Linked DNA regions of Anolis sagrei. Each later gene encodes a partner of the first gene's protein in a complex. Links are inferred from orthologs where the notes say so. Each region holds a gene or a part of one and is shown on either strand. Other genes may lie near its edges. The genes, in order: EGLN1, HIF1A and EPAS1.

Evidence for each region.
Region 2: the proteins of EGLN1 (region 1) and HIF1A are in contact, whole or in part, in a crystal structure (PDB 3HQR), measured with the Homo sapiens proteins. The link is inferred for Anolis sagrei from reciprocal best matches to the Homo sapiens genes EGLN1 and HIF1A. Residues at the interface, in NP_071334.1 of Homo sapiens: Gln239, Leu240, Val241, Ser242, Gln243, Lys244, Ile251, Arg252, Trp258, Lys262, Asp277, Ile280, Arg281, Ile292, Asn293, Gly294, Arg295, Thr296, Lys297, Tyr310, Val311, Arg312, His313, Val314, Asp315, Pro317, Asn318, Asp320, Arg322, Arg370; in NP_001521.1 of Homo sapiens: Leu559, Glu560, Met561, Leu562, Ala563, Pro564, Tyr565, Ile566, Pro567, Met568, Asp570, Asp571, Phe572, Gln573, Leu574.
Region 3: the proteins of EGLN1 (region 1) and EPAS1 are in contact, whole or in part, in a crystal structure (PDB 7Q5X), measured with the Homo sapiens proteins. The link is inferred for Anolis sagrei from reciprocal best matches to the Homo sapiens genes EGLN1 and EPAS1. Residues at the interface, in NP_071334.1 of Homo sapiens: Gln239, Leu240, Val241, Ser242, Lys244, Ile251, Arg252, Trp258, Asp277, Ile280, Arg281, Ile292, Asn293, Gly294, Arg295, Thr296, Lys297, Tyr310, Val311, Arg312, His313, Val314, Asp315, Pro317, Asn318, Asp320, Arg322, Arg370, Trp389, Tyr390; in NP_001421.2 of Homo sapiens: Asp525, Leu526, Glu527, Thr528, Leu529, Ala530, Pro531, Tyr532, Ile533, Pro534, Met535, Asp536, Gly537, Glu538, Asp539, Phe540, Gln541, Leu542.

Annotation. Positions count from the first base shown.
Region 1 is NC_090021.1:60,811,641-60,818,766, forward strand, and holds the start of EGLN1 (egl nine homolog 1), read left to right. Parts: upstream 1-4,115; 5' UTR 4,116-4,596; coding exon 4,597-5,523; intron 5,524-7,126. UniProt on the Homo sapiens protein: Cellular oxygen sensor that catalyzes, under normoxic conditions, the post-translational formation of 4-hydroxyproline in hypoxia-inducible factor (HIF) alpha proteins.
Region 2 is NC_090021.1:332,082,716-332,090,655, reverse strand, and holds the start of HIF1A (hypoxia-inducible factor 1-alpha), read left to right. Parts: upstream 1-4,930; 5' UTR 4,931-5,093; coding exon 5,094-5,137; intron 5,138-7,940.
Region 3 is NC_090021.1:26,973,157-26,980,175, forward strand, and holds the start of EPAS1 (endothelial PAS domain-containing protein 1), read right to left. Parts: upstream 3,105-7,019; 5' UTR 2,582-3,104; coding exon 2,556-2,581; intron 1-2,555.

The DNA.
Region 1 (7,126 bases):
GTTCCCTGAACCTGCTACTTCTCTGTATCTTTCTTAAAATGAAATGCCCAGAAATGAATGCAGAGGAGGACCGATCAATGCATGGGTGACACAAGCCCTTGAGATGCTACTCACTCAGAAGTAGATTTTAGTAAATTCAGAGGCACCAACTTCCCTAAGTGTCCACAAAGTTCTACAATATAGTTGTGAGTGCACATTTGTGACATATTGCATGCCATTTATAAATAGCTGCAGTTCTCCAATACAATTCTAGGGTAGACCAGGACCAGAAAGCATGTTATTACACAATGCTGAGGTAATACATGCGGTTTCAGGCAATCATGGTCTAGCAGGGATCCTTTCCCCTGCTGATATGGAGGTCTTACTGTAAGGTGTGTGTGTATGTAATGTCATGTGTCCATTTAATGACAAGGACTGAAAAGCTGCATCATGAGGAAAACTACTTTAGCATGTAATAAATTCTTTCTACTTGAGAAATTATAACATGGGTGGTATAAAAATAAAGTCTTTACTGATAATCATTTCCAATGCTTACTTAAAATAGGTTTAAAAATCAAACATCTATTGATACCAAATCGGCTTTACGAAACAGGCTGGTCTTTCTTTTTATGAAGTATAGCATAAGCATCCTCTGCAGAGTCCACTGTAAACACTGCACAACAGATTTGTGTAAACGGCTATAAAGCTGTCACTAGGTTACTGTCAGATTTATGACCCCAACATAGATTTTTTTTGTGTGTGTCACGAGCAACTTGAGAAAACAAGGAAACTGTACCTCAGTTAGGATACTGAATGTTCTCTAATATGAAGGATCCCATACCACCTCTTTCATGCAATTATGGTCCTCAATGACCCTTAGAAGATAGAAACCTGCATCAGACCACTTTGGAACTGGTTTGATTTTGTTGCCCACCTAGACTCAGTCTGCTCCCCTGTGCAGCAGTGTAGTCTATGCCTAATTCCATGGCAAAGGTGCATCCATAGTGCCGTGTGGGATACATCGCACCATGTTAAAACAGTGGCTATGGCTCTTAATGAGACATGCCAAGTTATCACAGGAGGTCTCTGCCCCACACCACTGGAGAAATTATGCAATTTAGCTGGGTTTTTTGTGGGTTTTTTTCGTGTTAGGAGCAGCTTGAGAAACTGCAAGCCACTTCTGGTGTGGGAGAATTAGCCGTCTGAAAGGACGTTGCCCAGGGGACGCCCAGATGTTTTGATGTTTTACCATCCTTGTGGGAGGCTTCTCTCATGTCCCTGCATGGGGAGCCAGAGCTAACAGAGTGGTCATCCGTGCTCTCCCCTGTCAGTCTTCAGTCCCGGCACAAGGGTTTAAGCCATTGCATCACCGGGGGATACTTTTAGTTAGTATTGCACTAACTGGCATCCGTCAGGAAGTAGCAGCCAACAATGAAAGAACCGAGGCAGTGACATCTCTGGCCCATCATCTGTTTGGATATCAGCCAGCATGGCAACAGCTTAAATCAAGAAACAGCTTCCTAAGATTGAGAGAGGTACTTGCAGGAACACCTCAGCAAGCAAGAACGCAAAAGTGGCAGGTTAAAACCCACCACCTTAATCAGTAACTGAGACCGGACAGGAGACTCCCTCCTGGGCACAAAGAAGATTGGGTGACCTGAACAGGCTACACTCTGGCATCATGAGATGCAGAGCTAACCTTAAGAAATGGGGCTGCAAAGTGGAGTCCACAACATGCAAGTGTGGAGGAGAACAAACCACTGACCACCTGCTGCAATGCTACAAAGCAACATGAAGCCCTGCCATAAGCACAATGGAGGACCTTCTCAAAGCGACACCAGAGGCACTCCAAGTGGCCAGCTTCTGAACAAAGGAAATTTAGAAGAATGCCAAGTTTTTTTTAAAAAAGTGTGTTTTTTAAAATGCATTTTAACATATTATGATTATGCTTTTGGCTTTGTGCAGTTTTTATATTGCTAAATATTTTAATTGTATTTTATAATTGTTTTAATTGTATTTATAATTGTTGAGGCATCGAATTGTTGCCGACTGTGAACCGCCTTGAGTTGCCTCCGGGCCGAGAAAGGTGGTATATAAGTCTGATAAATAAATAAATCAATCTATATAAATAAAAATGTAATGTTCATTTGTGGGATTAACATTACTCAAAAACCACTGGATGAATTGACACCAAATTTGAACACAATACACCTATCAGGCCAATGAGTGATCATCACTCATAAAAACACTGAAAAACACAACAGAAGGGACTTAGAAAGCCAAAAAGAAAAAGAAAAAAAAGATGCTACAGTGCATGCACAAAAACGACTCCCCCGGCAAAAAAAAACACAATAGAATATCCACACTATCTTCCAGACTACAGCTCCCAGCATCCCCTAGACCAGGCCCTTTAGGAGAGGGGGATGATCCAAATGCACTGCTTCCAAGCTGCAAGCTTTCTTCTCCTTGGATTTGAGAGCATCCGAATCCCTGGATACTTCCAGTTTCCTATTCCTGGACTGCAAATTCCCAGCAGTCCTCCAGATAGATAGGTAGATTGATCAGGAGGAATACTGGGAGTTGCAGTCCAAGAATAGGCAAAGAAGGGGAAAAAAGGGAAAGGAAAGAAAAAGGGGGGAAGGAAGGGATGAGGAAGAGAAGGAAGGAAGGAGAAAAGGAAAGACTGAAACGGAGGGAAGGAGAGAGAGGAAGAGAGGAAGGAGAGGCTGGCCATAGCAATGCGTAGTGGGTACAGTTTGTAATAAATAAACTGTGCCCTCAACTGCAGGAAATCAGGAGACGCTTACTTCTTAGGAAGAGAGCAATAACCAATCTTGATAAAATAGTGAAGAGTAGAGACATCACACTGGCAACAAAGATCTGCATAATTAAAGCAATGGTATTCCCCATAGTCCCCTACGGATGTGAAAGCTGGACTATAGGGAAGGCTGAGCGAAGGAAGATAGATGCTTTTGAACTGTGGTGCTGGAGGAAAGTTCTGAGAGTGCCCTGGACTGCGAGAAGATCCAACCAGTCCATACTTCAGGAAATAAAGCCCGACTGCTCATTGGAGGGAAGGATAGTAGAGGCCAAGATGAAGTATTTTAGCCACATCATGAGAAGACAGGAAAGCTTAGAGAAGACAATGATGCTGGGGAAAATGGAAGGAAAAAGGAAGAGGGGCTGACCAAAGGCAACAGGCCCGTAGCGGGGGGGGGGGGGGGGGGGGGCTTGAGGGGCTTACCCCCCCCCCCCCGAAATTCTCAGGGTGGTCTGCGAGAAGGCCTTACTGGTACATTATTTAAACTGTTATGTTTACTCATATCATGATCTGATCACCATGATATGAGTAAACATATGCATGGGGATATTGGGACAATGATACAAAAGGTTTGCTAAGGTAGATCCTGAGCCCCCCCCCCCCCCCCAATCAAAATCTTGGCTACGGCCTGAAAGGCAAGGTGGATGGATGGTATCCTTGAAGTGACTGGCTTGACTCTGAAGGAGCTGGGGGTGGTGACAACCTACAGGGAGCTGTAGGTCACGAAGAGTTGGAAGCGACTGAACGAATGAACAACCCTCAACTCGCTTCTGACATTACCGCAGAATGAATACATTTTGGCCTTCCTTTAACTGCCCTGCGGCTCAATGCTGTGGACTCCAGGAGGGTGGAGTTTGGCGAGGTTTAGGGGACTCCTGAGCTGGAGTCCTGGCCATTGCCCGTACGTTGGGCAGAGCAGGCTGAAGACCTGGTGAAAGCACAGCTCCCAAACCGCACCGCTTATACAACCCAGGGGACCCCTCTGCAACAAAAACCCCCTGAAAACAATGGGCCACGTGGGTAGGTAGTGTTGTGCCAGTGCCTTCTCTGAAGGCGGCATCTCTGAAGGCGCCGCTCGCGCTGTGACGAGACAAAGCGGTGTCCCTCCTCTTTCCCCCCTCCCTCCCTCCCTCCCTCTCCTAAAGGCAGGCACCGCGTGCGTCGAGCAACGGCCATTCCGATCCCTGATCCCGACCCCGCCCACCTTCGGGCGCAGAGAGGCCTCGCGCAAACACCCTCCTTCCTGGCTTCCGTGAAGGTGCGGGGACGCGCATGCGCATGCGCAGAGCCCTCCCCTCGCGTAGGAGGGAAGGAAGGCGTGCTGACTGGAAGTGGCGTACGTGCAGCGCGGAGCTGGAGAGTGGCGGCGCAAGCTCCGCCCCCTCGGCGCGCGAGAGGAGAGCGAGAGGAGGGACGGTGGCTCGCGCCGGCCACGAAGGAGGCGGAGGACGTCGACGGAGCGACCAGAGGAGGCTTGAGGGGAGGAGAAGGAAGGAAGGGAAGGAGGGAGAGAGAGAGAGTGAAGGAGGCCTCTCGGCGGGAGATGAGGCGCTCCCCTCCCTTCCTCCGGCCATGATGAAGCGGTGGCGGTGGCGGCGGCAGGAGGACTGAGGCGCGGGCGAGGAGGCCGCGCTGACGGAGCGCCGCTTGGGGGGTGTGGGAAGAGCACGACGGCCATGATGATGAAGTGAGCCCGCCGCTCGGCGCTTGGCCTTCCGGAGGAGGAGGAGGAGGAGGAGGAGGAGGAGAAGGCCGCCGCGGAGGAGGAAGCCGAGGCGTGGGGCGCGCGCGGCAGCATGGCCAATGACAGCGGTGGGAGTGGCGGCCAAGGCGGCGGCGGGGGAAGCTGCAGCAACGGCAACAACGGCCACGGGCCCAACAGCTGCACCGCCAGCAGCAGCAGTAGTACCAGCGAGCGGGACCGGCAGTACTGCGAGCTGTGCGGGAAGATGGAGAACCTGCTGCGGTGCGGGCGGTGCCGCAGCTCCTTCTACTGCAGCAAGGAGCACCAGCGCCAGGACTGGAAGAAGCACAAGCTCATCTGCCGGGGAGGAGGAGGAGGAGGGGAGGCGCCGCCGCACGGGCACACCAACAGCCGCCCCCACGCCGCCGAGGAGGCCAAGAAGGCAGCCAAGCCTCCTCCGCCTCCCCTTCCCCCTCCTCTTCCTCCCCCAAACGGCGAAGGGGACGCTGCGGCCACCAACAACCACGTTGCCAAAGCGGCGCCTGAGGAAGAGGAAGAGGAGAAAGAGGACAAGGAGGAGGAGGTGGCGGCCGCAGCAGCAGCAGCAGCAGCGGCTCCCCCGCCGGCCCGGGAGGCGGGCCTCCTCTACCGGGACAAGTCCAACTTGACGGGCGAGGCGTCGCTGCGGCGCAACGGGCAGATGAAGTCGCAGGTGCCCCAGCGGCTGGCGCTGGAGTACATCGTGCCCTGCATGAACAAGCACGGCATCTGCGTGGTGGACGAGTTCCTGGGGCCCGAGCTGGGCGGGCGCATCGAGCAGGAGGTGCGCGCCTTGCACCACACGGGCCGCTTCACCGACGGGCAGCTGGTCAGCCAGAAGAGCGACTCCTCCCGGGACATCCGCGGAGACAAGATCACCTGGGTGGAAGGCAAGGAGCCCGGCTGCAAGGCCATCGGGAAGCTCATGAACAGCATGGACGATCTCATCCGGCACTGCAATGGCAAACTGGGCAACTACAAGATCAATGGCAGGACGAAAGTGAGTCGCCCTCCCTCTCTCCCCTATTTAGATATTTGTCTCACCAGAAGCTAACCAATGGTACAGTAATAATAATAATAATAATAATAATAAATGGGTTGTTGTAGGTTTTTTCGAGCTATATGGCCATGTTCTAGAGGCATTCTCACTTGACGTTTTGCCTGCATCTATGGCAAGCATCCTCAAGATGCTTGCCATAGATGCAGGCAAAGGTCAGGAGAGAATGCCTCTAGAACATGGCCATATAGCCCAAAAAAACCTACAACAACCCAGTGATTCCGGCCATGAAAGCCTTCGACAAGACATTAATAATAATAAACTTTATTTATACCCCTCCACCATCTCCCCAGAGAGGACTCAAGGTGGCTAACATGAGGCCAAGCCCAGTACAGCAAAGTGAAATACAACAATTAATAACATCAAATAAGATGCAAACAATAACAAGTATACAGTAAGCAAGCACAACTTAAAATGATGGAAAAATAAAAACAGAGTGGGAAGTTGTCATATATTTAAAAAAACGCAAAGTTTAATAAACTTGGCATTATGCTCAATGCCCTTTGACCGGAATCTGGCCACTTGGAGTGCCTCTGGTGTTGCTCTTAGAAGGTCCTCCATTGAGCATATGGCAGGGTTCAGGCTGCATTGTAATAGGTGGTCTGTGGTTTGCTCTCCTCCGCACTTACATGTTGTAGCCCTATTTCTTAAGGTTGCTTCTGTATCTCGTGGTCCCAGAGCAAAGTCTGTTCAGCGCCTTCCAAGCCGGCCAGTCTTCTGTGTGCGGGGGTGGGGTGGGGGGGGTGGGAGTCTCTCATTTGGTATCAGCCACTGATTGAGGTTCTGGGTTTTAGCCTGCCACTTTCGGACTCTCACTTGCTGAGGTGTTCCAGTGAGTATCTCTGTAGATCAGTGGTTCTCAACCTGCAATCTCCAGATGTTTGTGGACTACAACTCCCAGAAATCCCAGCCAGTTTACCAGCTGTTGGGATTTCTGGGAGTTGTAGTCCACAAACATCTGGAGATTGCAGGTTGAGAACCACTGCTGTAGATCTTAGAAAACTATTTCTTGATTTAAGGCGTTGGCGTGCCGGCTGATATTTGAACAAGGGATGGGCTGAAGATGCCACTGCTTTGGTCCTTTCATTATTGGATGCTACTTCCTGGCGGACGTCAGGTGGTGCAATACCAGCTAAACCAGTGGTTCTCAACCAGTGGGTCCCCAGATGTTTTGGCTTTTAACTCTCAGATATCCTCACAGCTAGTAAACCAGCTGGGATTTCTGGGAGTTGTGGGCCAAAACACTTGGGGACCCACAGGTTGAGAACCACTGGGCTAAACAGTATAATTTCTTCACCACTGTCCTCAAAGGCAGTGGTTCTCAACCTGTGGGTCCCCAGGTGTTTTGGCCTACAACTCTCAGAAATCCCAGCTGGTTTACCAGCTGTTAGGATTTCTAGGAGTGGAAGGCTAAAGCATCTGGGGACCACAGGTTGAGAACCACTGCCCTAAGGGCACCTTTTCATGCAGAGCCGGCAGGGATGCTCTCGGGCTTTATTGACCTCTTGGTATGATCACTCCTCCTCCTCCCATCATTCCACCAGAC
Region 2 (7,940 bases), about 270 Mb from region 1:
TCAGTCACTTCCTGAGACCACTGTGACTCACACCAATGACTGATCAAGACCAAACTTGGCATACAGAGTCCTCATGATCCATCCTATATCCTGGTGCCATTTGGAGGAGGAAGGACCACAGACGATGGGACTTACATATGGGAGTTGGAGTTTACCTATACCCACTGAAGCCAACTGACATTGGATCCAGACTCCAACTGGAGTGCAGACAAACAATGCCTATCTCAAATAGCCTGGGCATCACTGGGTCCCCAAGCTAGTAAATAAATAAAAGGCCAAACATGCTGAAAGTTTTGGTTTTACATTTTTTTGATCAGTTCATTTATGTTCACAATGTTGGTCATGAATAGGAAATAACTATGCATATAATTAGAGAAAAAAATTGATGGGTTAACTTTACCTTTTCACTTCAAATGTTTAAAAGCAATGCTTTTGGATGAAACATGCAGAATAATCACAGGATGTCTTCAACCTACACCTGTTGATAAACTCTACAAAAGCTAGCTGGCATTGCCCCTCCTGATTTTATTTATTTATCGTGTCATCCGCAACCAGAACATTGTATTACATTTCTAACAGAACAAAACAAACAAACAGATAAAAAAACCCCACAAATTTTGCAAACTTGGTAGCTGATTAAATGTCCTTTGACCAGTATCTGGCCACTTGGAGTGCCTCTGGTGTTGCCGCAAGAAGGTCCTCCATCGTGCATGTGGCAGGGCTCAAGTTGCATTGCAGCAGGTGGTCAGTGGTTTGCTCTTCTCCACACTCGCATGTCGTGGATTCAACTTTGAGGCCCATTTCTTAAGATGGCTCTGCATCTCGTGGTGTCAGAGTGCAGTCTGTTCAGCGCCTTCCAAGTCGCCCAGTCTTCTGTGTGCCCAGGGGGGAGTCTCTCATCTGGTATCACCCACGGATTGAGGTGTTGGGTTTGAGCCTGCCACTTTTGAACTCTCGCTTGCTGAGGTGTTCCAGCGAGTGTCTCTGTAGATCTAAGAAAAGTATTTCTTGATTTAGGTTGTTGACATACTGGCTGATACCCAAACAAGGGATGAGCTGGAGATGTCTCTGCTTGGTCCTTTCACTATTGGCTGCTACTTCCCAGCGGATGTCAGGTGGTGCAATACCGGCTAAGCAGTGTAATTTCTCCAGTGGTGTAGGACGCAGACACCCTGTGATAATGCGGCATGTCTCATTAAGAGCCACATCCACTGTTTTAGTGTGGTGAGATGTGTTCCACACTGGGCATGCGTACTCAGCAGCAGAGTAGCACAGCGCAAGGGCAGATGTCTTCACTGTATCTGGTTGTGATCCCCAGGTTGTGCCAGTCAGCTTTCGTATGATATTGTTTCTAGCACCCACTTTTTGTTTGATGTTCAGGCAGTGCTTCTTGTAGGTCAGAGAACGGTCCAGAGTGACTCCCAGGTATTTGGGTGCGCTGCAATGCTCCAGTGGGATTCCTTCCCAGGTAATCCTCAGAGCTCGGGATGCCCCTCCTGATGTGTGATGGGAAGTTGCTGCTAAATGTGAGAGAAATAAGGTTGAACACTGTCCACTGTGTCCTGCCTCATGTACAGAGGAGGAATTGTTGGAGGCTACAGACAATGCCGTTGCTGTTGCTCGTTTTTGGTGAAAAGATATTTAGCCGCCTGTACGCCTTCTATTTTTTATCAGTTTTATACTAATTTATGCAATGATTTCGATACGAAATAAAATATAACCTTTTTGCTTTAAGCAGATTGGCTATTGTATTGCCTTCAACTGCCAGTTTTCTCCTGTTCTTATATTCTATGTTTATTGTATGTAAACTGCCCTGTTAAACTTTACTTTAAGATGGAATTAAATAAACAAAACCTTATCACTTAGGAGCCGTGTAATGCATATAAGGAAGTGGCAGAACCTTACGTCTAGAGGCTTTTCTGCTATGATACAAATACCTCTCTGGAATACAACAAAATATAACATCCTCAAAAGATTATTAGACAATCAAAATAAAGACAACACATCAAGCAAGCTTTTGAAGCTTCACCATCTTCCTGATAGTATAGGCATGGGCAAACTTTGGTCCTCCTGATGTTTTGGACTTTTACTCCCACAATTCCTAACATCTTAGTTTGCCCATGCATGTGATAATAGATGCATGATGGCTAGCTTACACTCTGCATGTACTCAGAGGCATTCTTGGTGCTTCATGCGGGACCAAAATAAACCCCGAGACTCAAGGCCTCCTCAGGAACTCTTGGCAAATAATGGGATGTCTTATTGATATCATCATTATTATAACACACACATATCCAGCAGACTCTCAGTTAACGAGGAATCAAGCAACTGGAGCTTTTAAGCAACCAGCAAACCCCCCCAGCAGGTATAATATGCATTTTAAAAAGTCCTGCCAAGATCCCAAGTCCAGGGTGAAACTGAGCACAATGTAGACGCCCACTCCAGCCTCAAAGACAGGCTTCCTTGACCTCCACTTATGGATGCTGCAGTTTCCAGTCAGCTTGCAACTGCATTAAATAATAAGCGTAGATGCCATTCAATACAATTTCTCAGTACTAGGCTGTTAGGAATTGTGGGAATTGAAGTGCAAAACATCTGGAGGGCCAAATGTTGCCCATGTCTGCACTAGAGCATCTATCCACTTTAAATCTGATTGCTGCCTCCTGCAGGATTTTGGAGTTTGTAGTTTAGGGAGGCCTGGGATCTCTTTATCTGAGCAGTTTAAAGGGTTACCCCCAAACTACAAACACCAGAATTCTGCAGAAGGCAGCAACCAGATTTAAAATTGATTGATTCTCCAACTCCCACAATTCCTAACAACCTACCTCTATGTATGATGAAGTCCATACAAAAGACAAGAGGAGGAGAAGAGGAAAAGAAGGGAAAGAGGAAGAGGAGGTGAAGGAGAAGAAGATGGTGGTGGTGGTGAGGAGGAGGAGCATGGAAGAAGAGGAGAAGGAAGAGAAAGGATTAAGATGAGGAGGGAGGAAGAAGAGAAGGAGGAAGGAAAAGAAAGAAGAGGAGGTGAAGTTGAGAGATCAAGGTGAAAAAGAAGAGAAGATGGGGGAAGAAGAAGAGGTGGAATGGAGGGAGTAGACAGGAACAGAAAGCAAAAAGGAGAGAAAAGGAAGGGAAAAAAGAAGAGAAGGAAAAGAGAAAATCAGAATTGAAGAGACGTGAGAAGAAAAGTTGAAGAAGAGGAGGAGCAGGGAAGAAGAAGAGAAAGTGAAGTAAGAGTAGAGGAGGACGGAGAAGAAGAGGAGACAGGAAAAAGAAGCAAGGAAAGATAAAGAAACAAGTCGACCATGTGCTCTGTTTTAAACTGTTTATTTTAAATGTATTTATATGTTACTGTTTTGATTATAATCTACTATGTATTTTATTTGTTTTTATGTGGCATTGAATGATTGGCAATTGGAAGCGGCTCTGAGTCCCCTTCGGGGTTGAGATAGAGCGAGGTAAAAAGTACAGTAAATAAATAAGGAGGGGAAGAAGAAGACGAGAAAAATAGAAGAAAGAGAAGAGGAGGAAGAAAAGGAGGAGAAAACTAAAAGGCGGAGGGGAAAGGAAGGGGAAAAAGAAGAGAAGAAAAAGAGGAAAATCAGAAGAAAAGGAGGGTGGAAGAGGATTAGTGGGCAGAAAAGGTGAAGAAGAGGGGAAGCAGGGAAGAAGAAGAGGAGAAAGAAAAGTAGAAGAGGATGGGGAAAAGAAGAGAAGGAAAGAGGATGAATGGAAGAGAAGAAAAGGACAGAAACAAGAGGAGAAAGTGAAAAAGAGGAGGAGAGATGGGGTGAAGAAAAAGAGAAACAGAAGAAAGTGAAAAGGGGGAGAAAAGGAGAAAAAAACAAAAAAGAGAAAAGGAAAGGAAAAAATGAAGAAAAAGAGGAAAATCAAAAAAAAGAGAAAGGGGAAAGGAGAAGAAGAGGAAAAGCAGGGAAGAAGAAAAGGAGAAAGAAGTATCAGGAGAAGAAGAGGATGGGGAAGAGAGGAAGGAAAGGAGAAAACGAAAAGGAGAAGAGAAAAAAGGGAAAAGAAGGGAAGGAAAATAGAATGAGAAGAGAGGAGGGTAGAAGAAGGGAGGAAGAGATAGAGAAGTAGGAGAAGGGGATGGAGAGAGAGTAAGGAAAGGAGAAAACAAAAAAGGAGAAAAGAAGAAAAGAAGGGAAAAGAAGCGAAGGAAAAGAGAGGAATGAGAAGAGAGGAGGGAAGAAGAAGGGAAGAAGAGAAAGAGAAGTAGGAGGAGAAGGGGGTGGGGAGAGAGGAAGGAAAGGAGAAAACGAAAAGGAGAAGAGAAGAAAGGAAGGGAAAAGAAGAGAAGGAAGAGAACGAGAAGAGAGGAGGGAAGAAGAAGAGAAAGAGAAGTAGGAGGAGGAGAAGAGGAATGAGTAATAAGAAGAGAAAACGAAAAAAAGAAAAAAGGGAAGAAGGGAAGAAGAAAAGAAAAGTAGTAGAAGAAGAGGATGAGAAAGAGGGGAAGGAAAGGAGAAAACGAAAAGGAGAAGAGAAGAAAGGAAGGGAAAAGAAAAGAAGGAAAATGGAGAATGAGAAGAGAGGAGGGAAGAAGAAAAAGATAAGGAGAAGTAGGGGGAAGAAGAGGATGGGGAAAAGAAGAAGAAAAGGAGAAAATGAAAAGGAGAAGAGAAGAAAGGGAAAAGAAGAGGAGGAAAAGAGGAGGGAAGAAGAAGAGAAAGAGGAGGAGAAAAAGAAGGAGAAAAGGAGAAAAGGAGGAGGAGGAGGATAAAGAGGAGGCCGCCTTCCCTTCCTGCCTTCTGCGCGCGCAACCGGCGGGGGGAGGGAGACACTCACGTGAGGCAGGCGGGCGGGGCCACGCCCCCTCCGGGCGGCGGTCCTCGCGCCGCCTCCCGATTGGCCGAGGCGGAGCTCGTGACGGGCCAGCCGGGAATAGGCCCCGCCCCCTCCCCTCCCCTCCTCCTCCTCCTCCTCAGACCGCGCTGAGAGAGAGTGAAGAGAGCCTCGCGGTGGCTGCCTTCCCTGCTTCGGCCTCCCTTTTCTGTGTCCCTCGGCCTTCCTCTCCGGCCAAGCTGGCTTCCTCGGCTTCTTCGTCCTCCGCCGACGACGGCGACGAGGCCGCCATGGAGCCCGGAGCCACCCCGGGAGGCTCCAGCGAGAAGAAAAGGTACGAAGGAGGAGAAAGATTAGGAGGCAGGCCTTGCTCTTCTCCTTCCTGTAGGAATGAATGCCTGGGGAGGAGAGAGATGGAGAGAATGGTGGAACTTCCTTCCTCTCTGTTATTGCTCCTTCTGAACTTTCTGTTTTCCTTCCTTTCTCCTTCCTTCCCTTTGTTGTTGATGATGGAGGAGAGGAGGAAGACTTCTCTTCCATTATTCCCAATTTTTCTTTCTTTCTTTGCTTTCTTTCTTCCACCTTCCTTCCTTCCCTTCATTCTCCATTCAGGCCTCTTCTAGACATCTGTAGTCCTTACCTTCATTCTCCATTCTTCTAGACATCTGTACACAATCCACATTATCTCCTTTGAACTGGATTATCTGGCAGTGTGGACCAGGCATGGGCCAACTTGGGCCCTCCAGGTGTTTTGGACTTCAACTCCCACAATTCCCAACAGCCTGTTGGGAATTGTGGGAGTTGAAGTCCAAAACACCTGGAGGGCCCAAGTTGGCCCATGCCTGGTCTACACTGCCAGATAATCCAGAATATCTGCTTTGAACTGGGTTATCTGAGCCCACACTGCCATATTTATTATTTATTTATATATTATATATTTACAACACTTATATGCCACCCTTCTCATCCCAAAGGAGACTCAGAGTGGTTTACAATACACACACACATACACAATATATTATATTATTAGCATAGTGCAAAATCAGTATTATATATTACTGTATTGTGCTATACCACTATATTGTAATACTACATGTAATACAGGGTTAGTCAAAATGAATAGGCCAATAAACACACATATACACACACATATACAATATATTATATTATTAGCATAGTACAAAATCAGTATTATATATTACTACGTCGTGCTATACCACTATATTGTAATATTACATGTAATACAAAATATGTAATTATAATATCCTATTATTATTAGTATTTATTTATTTTCAGCATTTCTACCCCCATTCCTTCTCAACCCCTGAAATGGCTAGAAGGATACTACTATATTGTAATACTATTACTAATATTAGTAATATTACATGTAATATAAAATATATAAATTATAATATCATATTATTGGTAGTAATATTGTATTATTTATTTATTTATTTATTTCCAGCATTTCTACCCCGTCCTTCTCAACCCCTGATATTAGCATAGTACAGTATCAGTATTATATATTACTATCTCATGCTATACCATTATGTTGCAATATTATTAGTAATATTACATGTAATATAAAATATGTAATTATAATATCATATTATTAGTAGTAGTATTGTTTTATTTATTTATTTCCAGCATTTCTACCCCCGTTCCTTCTCAATCCCTGAAGGGGGACTCAGGATGGCTTACAAGATATATATATGTGTGTGTGTGTGTATGGGTATATATATATACACACACACACACACACACATATATATATATATAATATTATTAGCATAATACAAAATCAGTATTATATATTACTATATTGTGCTATACCACTATATTGTAATATTATTAGTAATATTACATGTAATATAAAATATATAATTATTATATCCTATTATTCGTTGTATTATATTGTATTATTTATTTATTTCCAGCATTTCTACTTCTCAACCCCTGATATTAGCATAGTATAGTATCAGTATTATATATTGCAATATCGTGCTATACCATCATGTTGCAATATTATTAGTAATATTACATGTAATATGAAATATATAATTATTATATCCTATTATTAGTAGTAGTATTATATTGTAGTATTTATTTATTTCCAGCATTTCTATCCTGTCCTTCTCAACCCATGAAGGGGGACTCAGGATGGCTTACATTTGGCAACAATTTGATGCCATTAAATACAACAAAGCAATATAACAACAATAAAAACAGTATTAACCACCGTATCACCATTCCAGCCAAATTCCATATCCAAAGCGCTATTTATGTCTGCTGTCCAAAAACCTGGTCCCAGAACCACGACTCAATTTCTTCCTAAAAGACAGGAGGGATGAGGCCTGTCTTACCTCGTTGGGAAGCGAGTTCCACAGCTGGGGGGGGGGGGGGGGCTACAGCCGAGAAGGCCCTGTCTCTCGTCCCCGCCAGACGTATTTGCGACGCTGGCGGGAGCGAGAGCAGGGTCTCCCCGGATGATCTTAAATTGCAAGACAGGACGTATTATATTATTAGCATAGCACAGGAGACAAGGTGGACTTGTCTTCTGGTCCCTCTCTCTTCACTCTGGTCCAGAGCAGCAGTTGGTGCTGGGGGGAGGGGTCCCCAACTGATGACATATGCAGTAGACAAGATGGAACTGTCCCCTGCCCCCCTTTCACTCTGGCCCAGAGCATCAGTTGGTATATTCCAGTTCAAAGCAGAAAATGTGGAATTTTATTCAGGGCCTTTCTAGACAGGCCCTATATCCCGGGATCTGATCCCAGGTTTTCTGCTTTGAAGTGGATTATATGAGTCCGCACTGCCTCAAAAATCTGGAATAAACAGAAAACTTGGGATCAGATCCTGGGATATAGGGGCCTGTCTGGAAGGGTCCTCAGGTAATCAGTTCAAAGCAGGTCATGTTGGGTTATCTGCCTCGATATTCTGGATTATATGGCAGTGTAAAAAGGCCTTCACAATCCCAAATCAGATCTGAGCCTTTATTCCCCAGGTTCAAGTGATAACCCCCATTTCCCCCCACCAAATCCAGTTTCTTCCTTCAAAGGGCCCTTCCACACAGCCCTATATCCCAGAATATCAAGGCAGAAAATCCCACAATATCTGCTTTGAGCTCAGTTGTCTGA
Region 3 (7,019 bases), about 34 Mb from region 1:
GCCACATGGCGATGGAAATCCACTGTGTGACCTTGGTCAAGTCACACTTTCTCAGCCTCATGAAAACAATCACACAAACACACACACACACTGGAATGCATATTGCCAAGAAAACAACCAAAACTATGCACTGACATGCATATTCAATGTAATGTGTGAGTACCCTCTTCTTATCTAACACTGGATGCTGCCTTCCCATCATCCACCTTCATTCTACTATAAGAAAATGATACAATCCTGTTCGGAAGTGCCCTTCCACACTTTGTTGGAGATTAAAAGTGAGGACATCCTTAAAGGACTGAATCTTCTTGCAAGGGATTATTAGTTGGGTTGTTGTAGGTTTTTTGGGCTATATGGCCACGTTCTAGAAGCATTCTCTCCTGACGTTTCGCCTGCATCTATGGCAAGCATCCTCAGAGGTTGTGAGGTCTCACAACTTCTGAGGATGCTTGCCATAGATGCAGGCGAAACGTCAGGAGAGAATGCTTCTAGAACATGGCCATATAGCTCAAAAAACCTACAACAACCCAGTGATTCCAGCCATGAAAGCCTTCGACAATACATTGATTATTAGTTGGCTTTCAGGGTTGCATTGCAGAGAGTGTCAGGGCCCTTCCACATAGCCCTATATCCCAGAATATCAAGGGAGGAAATCCCACATTATCTGAGTGTGGACTCAGATAACCCAGTTCAAAGCAGATATTGTAGGATTTTCTGCCTTGATATTCTGGGATATAAGGCTGTGTGGAAGGGCCCTGAGTCAAACAAGAAGTGGAAGTAAACTTTTTGAAAGTCCACAGGTCACCAAATATGCCACAGCAGGGACAGCACCAAGATCTGACATTTCTCACTCTATTTGAGATGTTGGAATGCAAGATCCAGTTCAAATTAAAGCAGTCCAAGTGTGCACTTACACCAGGCATGGGCCCTCCAGGTATTTTGGACTTCAACTCCCAACATTCCTAACAGCCTCAGCCCCCTTCTTTTCCCCCCTCAGCTGCTTGTGGGCCTGAGGCTGTCAGGAATGGTGGGAGTTGAAGTCCAAAAACTCCTGGAGGGCACAAGTTTGCCCAGGCCTGATCTACACCATAGAATGGATGCAGTTTGAAGCCGCTTGGTGCTATTGGAATTTGGGGGAGTTGCAGTTTGTTGAACCACCAGCCCTCTTCAGCAGAGAAGGCTAAAGAAGGCAAAAAAAAAAAGTGCCAGTGGGATTTTGTCCTGCATCAATAGGAGTAGAGTGTCTAGAAGTCATGCTACCCCTCTATTCCGCCTTGGTTAGACCACACCTGGAATATTGTGTCCAATTCTGGGCACCACAATTCAAGAGAGATATTGACAAACAGGAATGTGTCCAGAGGAGGGTGACTAAAATGATCAAGGGTCTGGAGAACAAGCCCTATGAGGAGTGGCTTAAAGAGCTGGGCATGTTTAGCCTGAAGAAGAGAAGGCTGAGAGGAGACATGATAGCCATGTATAAATATGTGAGGGGAAGTCATAGGGAGTGAACTTGTTTTCTGCTGCCCTGGAGACTAGGATGCAGAACAATGGCTTCAAACGACAAGAAAAGAGACATCAAGAAGAACTTCCTGACTGTGAGAGCTGTTCAGCAGTGGAACTCCCTCCCCCCGGAGTGTGGTAGAGGCTCCTTCTTTGGAAGCTTTTAAACAGAAGCTGGATGGCCATCTGTCGGGGGTGCCCTGAATGCAATTTTCCTGCTTCTTGGCAAGGGGTTGGACTGGATGGCCCTTGAGGTCTCTTCCAATTCTATGATTCTAGATCACGAAATATGCCACAGCAAGGACAGCACCAAGATCTGACATTTCTCACTCTATTTGAGATATTGGAATGCAAGATCCAGTTCGAGTTAAATAATTCCTAGTGTTCAGGCAGCTACACTAGGCATGGGCAAACTTGGGCCCTCTGGGTGTTTTGGACTTCAACTCCCACCATTCCTAACAGCCTCGGCCTCCTTCCTTTCCCCCTTCAGCCGCTTATGGGCCTCAGGAATGTTGGGAGTTGAAGTCCAAAAACATCTGGAAGGCACAGGTTTGCCCAGGCCTGATCTACCCTGTAGAATGGGTGCAGTTTGACGCAGCTTAGTGCTACTGGAATCTGGGGAGTTGCAGTTTATTGAACCACCACTTCTATTTGGCAGAGAAGGCTAAAGACCTTGGGGAAACACAACTGCTAGGCTCCCTTAGCATTGCGCCTTGGTAGTTCAAGGGGTGTCACACTGCATCTATTCTACTGTAGAGATGGACCCGAGCCTGGGCGCTTCAGAGAAGTGAGTGGAGCAGAACGCAGAGGGAAAGGACTTGAAGTAGAGCCAAACAAGGCACCATTGTTGGACCATTTGGGATTGGGGAAAGAGAGATCCAGCCCCACTTCAACCTCCCTGGCTCCAAAGGACTGGGAAGAGTTAGGAAAGAGATGCAAAAGGAGAGGTCCCTCCTGAATCCAACCAGCGGAAGAGCTTCCTTGCTTTCAAAGAACTGGCGCGAGAACTTTGTCCCCGCAAAGATGTCCCTGGCTCTCTTTTCCTCCTCCCTTACCTCTTCTTTTCCTTCTCGGCTGTCATCCTGGGAAGCGGGGGTTCCTGCTTGCTTGCTGGGATGCTCTCACGCTGTATCCCCGAGAGGAAGGGGCTTTCTGTCCGTCGGGATCCTTGGGGAGGAAGATGTCAGGGCGCACGAGAGAGAGAGAAAGCGCGCGCGCCAAGCTTGGAGACCACTTTGGAGAAGAGATGGGTTGCGCTCTTTGCGCGCTTGCCGTCGGGTGGGTTGCCTTTCCTGGGCTTGGCGGGGGTGGAAGAGGAAGAGGAGGAGGCCGTCGAGCCGCCCCTGAGTTGACCATACAGTCTCAGGACACTGCCGAGGATTGTACAGCCCGCTCAGGGGAGAGAGAGAGAGAGAGGGAGGAGGCAAGGGCGCCGCGGCTCCCCGCCGCCACTGCTCCTGGCTGCTTCTGCCGCTCCTCCTTTGGCGCTGGGTATATGTACGGAGGAGGAGGAGGAGGAAAGGGAGGACGGGTCGCCCTGGGAAGGCTCTGCCGACCGGCCAGGAGGACAGAGGCAGGCTGGAGCCTCAGGCGGCGCTTCTTCCAGCTGGAGAGGCCGCCGAGGGCGCTGCCTCCAAGGGGCGGGCAAAGCCCACGCCTCCGGACCCGCCTCCAGCCACTTGGCAGCACTTGTTGATCGCAAGTCAAAGCGAGGGAGGGGCCGAAGGAGGCACAGCCGGATGGGTCAGACCCCCCACTCCCGGGGGGAAAAAGGTTCAGACCTAGGGTGCCTCTACAGTAGGCAGTGGCACGGGCAAACTTCATCTCTCCAGGCGTTTTGGACTTCAACTCCCACCATTCCTAACAGCCAGCAGGGGAAACGCCAAGGGCGCCTTAGGGCCCTTCCACACAGCGCTATATACCAGAATATCAAGGCAGAAAGTCCCACATTATAGCATCATAGAATCATAGAGTTGAAAGAGACCTCATGGGCCATCTAGTCCAATCTCCTGCCAAGAAGCAGGAAAATTACATTCAAAGCACCCCCGGCAGATGGCCATCCAGCCTCTGTTTAAAAGCTTCCAAAGAAGGTTCCTCTACCACACACTCCGGAGCAGAGACCCCCACCCCCGGGGGAAAAAGGCCCGGACCTAGGGTGCCTCTACAGTAGGCAGTGGCACGGGCAAACGTCAGCCCGCCAAGTGTTTTGGACTTCCACTCCCACCATTCCTAACAACCGGCAGGGAAAATGCCAAGAACGCCTTAGACACAGTGACAAAAGGCATCTTGCAGCACTTTAGAAATTAAAAGAGGGTCATAGTGCATCAACGCTGCAGAATAAATGCAGTTTGACTTCCATTTGAGCTGATTCATGGCCACAGAATCACTGGAGTTGGAGTTTTATAGCAGCAGCAGCACCCCCCTCCCCCCCCCAAAGAGACTGACAGGGAAACACAAAGTATAGCTAAATTCAGTTGCAAATAAATCTTGCAGTGCCTTAGAGATCAACAAGTGTTTTGGTGCATCTATACAGTAGAATAAATGCAATTTTAAGTCATTTTAACTACCCTGGCTCCGTGCTAGGAATCACTGATGCTGTACAGTAGTTTTAGGAGGTCTTTAGCCTTCTCTGCCAAAAAGTCCTGTGCCTTACCAGACTACAAGTCCCATAATTCCATAGCTTTTAGCCAGGTCAGTTCAAGTGATGTCAAACTGCATTCATTCTACAGTGCAAATGCACTCTATACTGCAGGGTTTGGCACCACTTGAAGGGCCCATACCTATCACACCCTATATAGGATCCTATGATATGTTTTTTTTAAGTATTGCTATTTCACTGGTCAAGAGGGCTGGTGTCTCACTAAGGGCCCTTTCACACAGTCATATAACCCAGAATATCCAGGCAGAAAATCCCACAATATCTGCTTTGAACTAGGTTGAACTAACTACAAATTCCAGGATTTTGTAGAAGGTTTGGGAGTAAAAGTGGTGTCAAAATACAATAATTCTGCAGTGTGGATACTCAGTCAGGGTCAATGCTCTGGAAAGTTAGGCAGAGCAAAACTAGAAGAAGAAAAAATTTAAAATGAAATGAAATATTGGCAACTCCCTTCAGAATCTCCCAGGCAGTATGATCAGAGTGGGAGTTACATACAATGCTGAAGCAACTTTTCCCCGGGTCTGATAATATGAGGTGCAGGAAAGAAATTGCAAAGTACATTGAGCATTTTAAAAAGAAGTCAAGATTCTGCCACTTCAAGATTATATTGGAATAAGAAAGGGGTATTTACAATAATAAATGCAAAACTCCAGCTCAGCCACATTGCTTCCCAGATTATTTTGGATAAGTTGTGGATTTGAGGACTAGCCTTGTGGTGAGGGTTTAGCACGTTGTTGTTATATACCTTTAGGTTGTGTACCTTTAAATCTGGCTATCATTATTAAAAAAAAAACTCTAAAATCAGGACAGGAAATAAAGATCAACACTCAAAAAACAGGGGAATTCCAGACAGGAAACAATCAGGGCCAGTTTTTTTTTTGTCGTGTCAGGAGTGACTTGAGAAACTTCAAGTCGCTTCTGGTGTGAGATAATTGGCCGTCTGCAAGGACGTTGCCCAGGGGACGCCAGATGATTTGATGTTTTTATCATCCTTGTGGGAGGCTTCTCTCATGTCCCCGCATGAGGACCTGGAGTTGATAGAGGGAACTCATCCGCCTCTCCCCAGATTTGAACCTGCGACCTGTTGGTCTTCAGTCCTGCCGACACAGGGGTTTAACGCACCGCACCACCGGGGGCTCCATAGGGCCAGATAACCTCCCAACAAAGGATTACCCCAGGACATCCTGCAGTATATTTTGCTATATTTTTTTTCAATTAATATCTCATAGAATCCTAACCAATTTAACCTCCCAACAAAGGATTACCCCAGGTAGGAAGCAACCAGGCTTTGAAGCTGCCAAGCTATTCAGTGCTAATCAAAGTGGCCAATTGCAACATTCACACTTGCCTCAAACAGACAAGAGTACTTTCTCTCACCCTGGACATTCCACAGATACATAAACCCCACTTGCCTAGTTTCCAACAGACCTCACAATCTCTGAGGATGTCTACCATAGATATGGGCGAAACATCAAGAGAGAATGCTTTGGGAATATAGCTATACAGTCTGGAAAACTCACAACAACCCACTACCTTTGTTTCCAGTCTAAGGCAAACCACTCTCATAGGGTTGTCTTGGCAAGATTTGTTCAGAGAGAGTCTACCTTTCCTTTCCTCTGAGGCTGAGAGTTGTAGCCCAATGTTCAAACCACAACCCCATGCTGGCTCTCTGTTAAGTACTATATACTTCCCTTAATTCTTTGGAAAACTGAGAGAGAGATTAAAGCAGGACTAGCCTTAAGGCTGAGCTATTATTCAGAATGCCAAACTCGCTTGGCAACTTGGTGTTTTTGAGTGAGTTGCCAATAGTAAACAACGAGGGTGAAGGAAAATGTGTCCTCAGCCATAATAATTTCAGTAAGGACATGCTTTTGATTTTATATGAATCTATATTTTATATGCTACTGTTTTAAATTGTATTTTATGTTTTTGGGGGCATTGAATTGTGCTGAATATAAACAGCCTTGCATCACCTTCGGGCTAAGAAAGGCGGTATATAAATACAGCAAATAAATAAATAAATAAATCCCCAAGATTTTTCAATTAATTTTAAAGTATGTGTGTACATATCCATGGTCCAAACCTATGCCAATGAGTGCAGGTGCCTCGTTACACTTTAACTCCCAACTAAATTAGACCATTTGAATAATGTGTCAATCTTAATTACTTAATTCTTGCCTCTGAAAGCCTTTGTGGCCACATTGAGTGCAACTATACTGTAGAATTTATGCAGTTTAGCATGGCACAATGGGTTTAACCAGGCATGGGCAAACTTTGGCCCTCCAGGTGTTTTAGACTACAACTCCCAAAATTCCTAAGAGAGCAAGTAGGCTGTTAGGAATTGAAGGAGTTGAAGTCCAAAACACCTAGAGGACCAAAGTTTGTCATTGCCTGGTTAAACCCTTGTTACAGCTGGACTGCTGACCTGAAGTTTGAGTTGCTGACCTGAAGGTTGCCGGTTCAAATCTGCAAGATGGGGTGAACTCCCATCTGTCAGCTCTAGCTTGCGGAGACATAAGAGAAGCCTTCCAGCAGGATGGTAACACATCCGAGGCTCCATTGGACAACATCTGTAGATGGCCAATTCTCTCACACCAGAAGCAACTTGCAGTATGTTCTCAAGTTGCTTCTGATTAGATAAAAAAGCATCATTCTAACTCAGGTGGTTCAATTCTATGGAATCCTAGTTTGGTGAGGCACCAAAGAAAGTTAAAGGCCTTTTAAAATTAAAGTTCCCATAATTCCCTAGCATAGAGCCATTGTAGTTGAAGTGGTGTTAGATTGCATTAATTCTTCAGTGTGGTCGAGAGACTAGTGTTCAAAACCCCACTTGACCACAGGAATCCATAGAAACCCTATA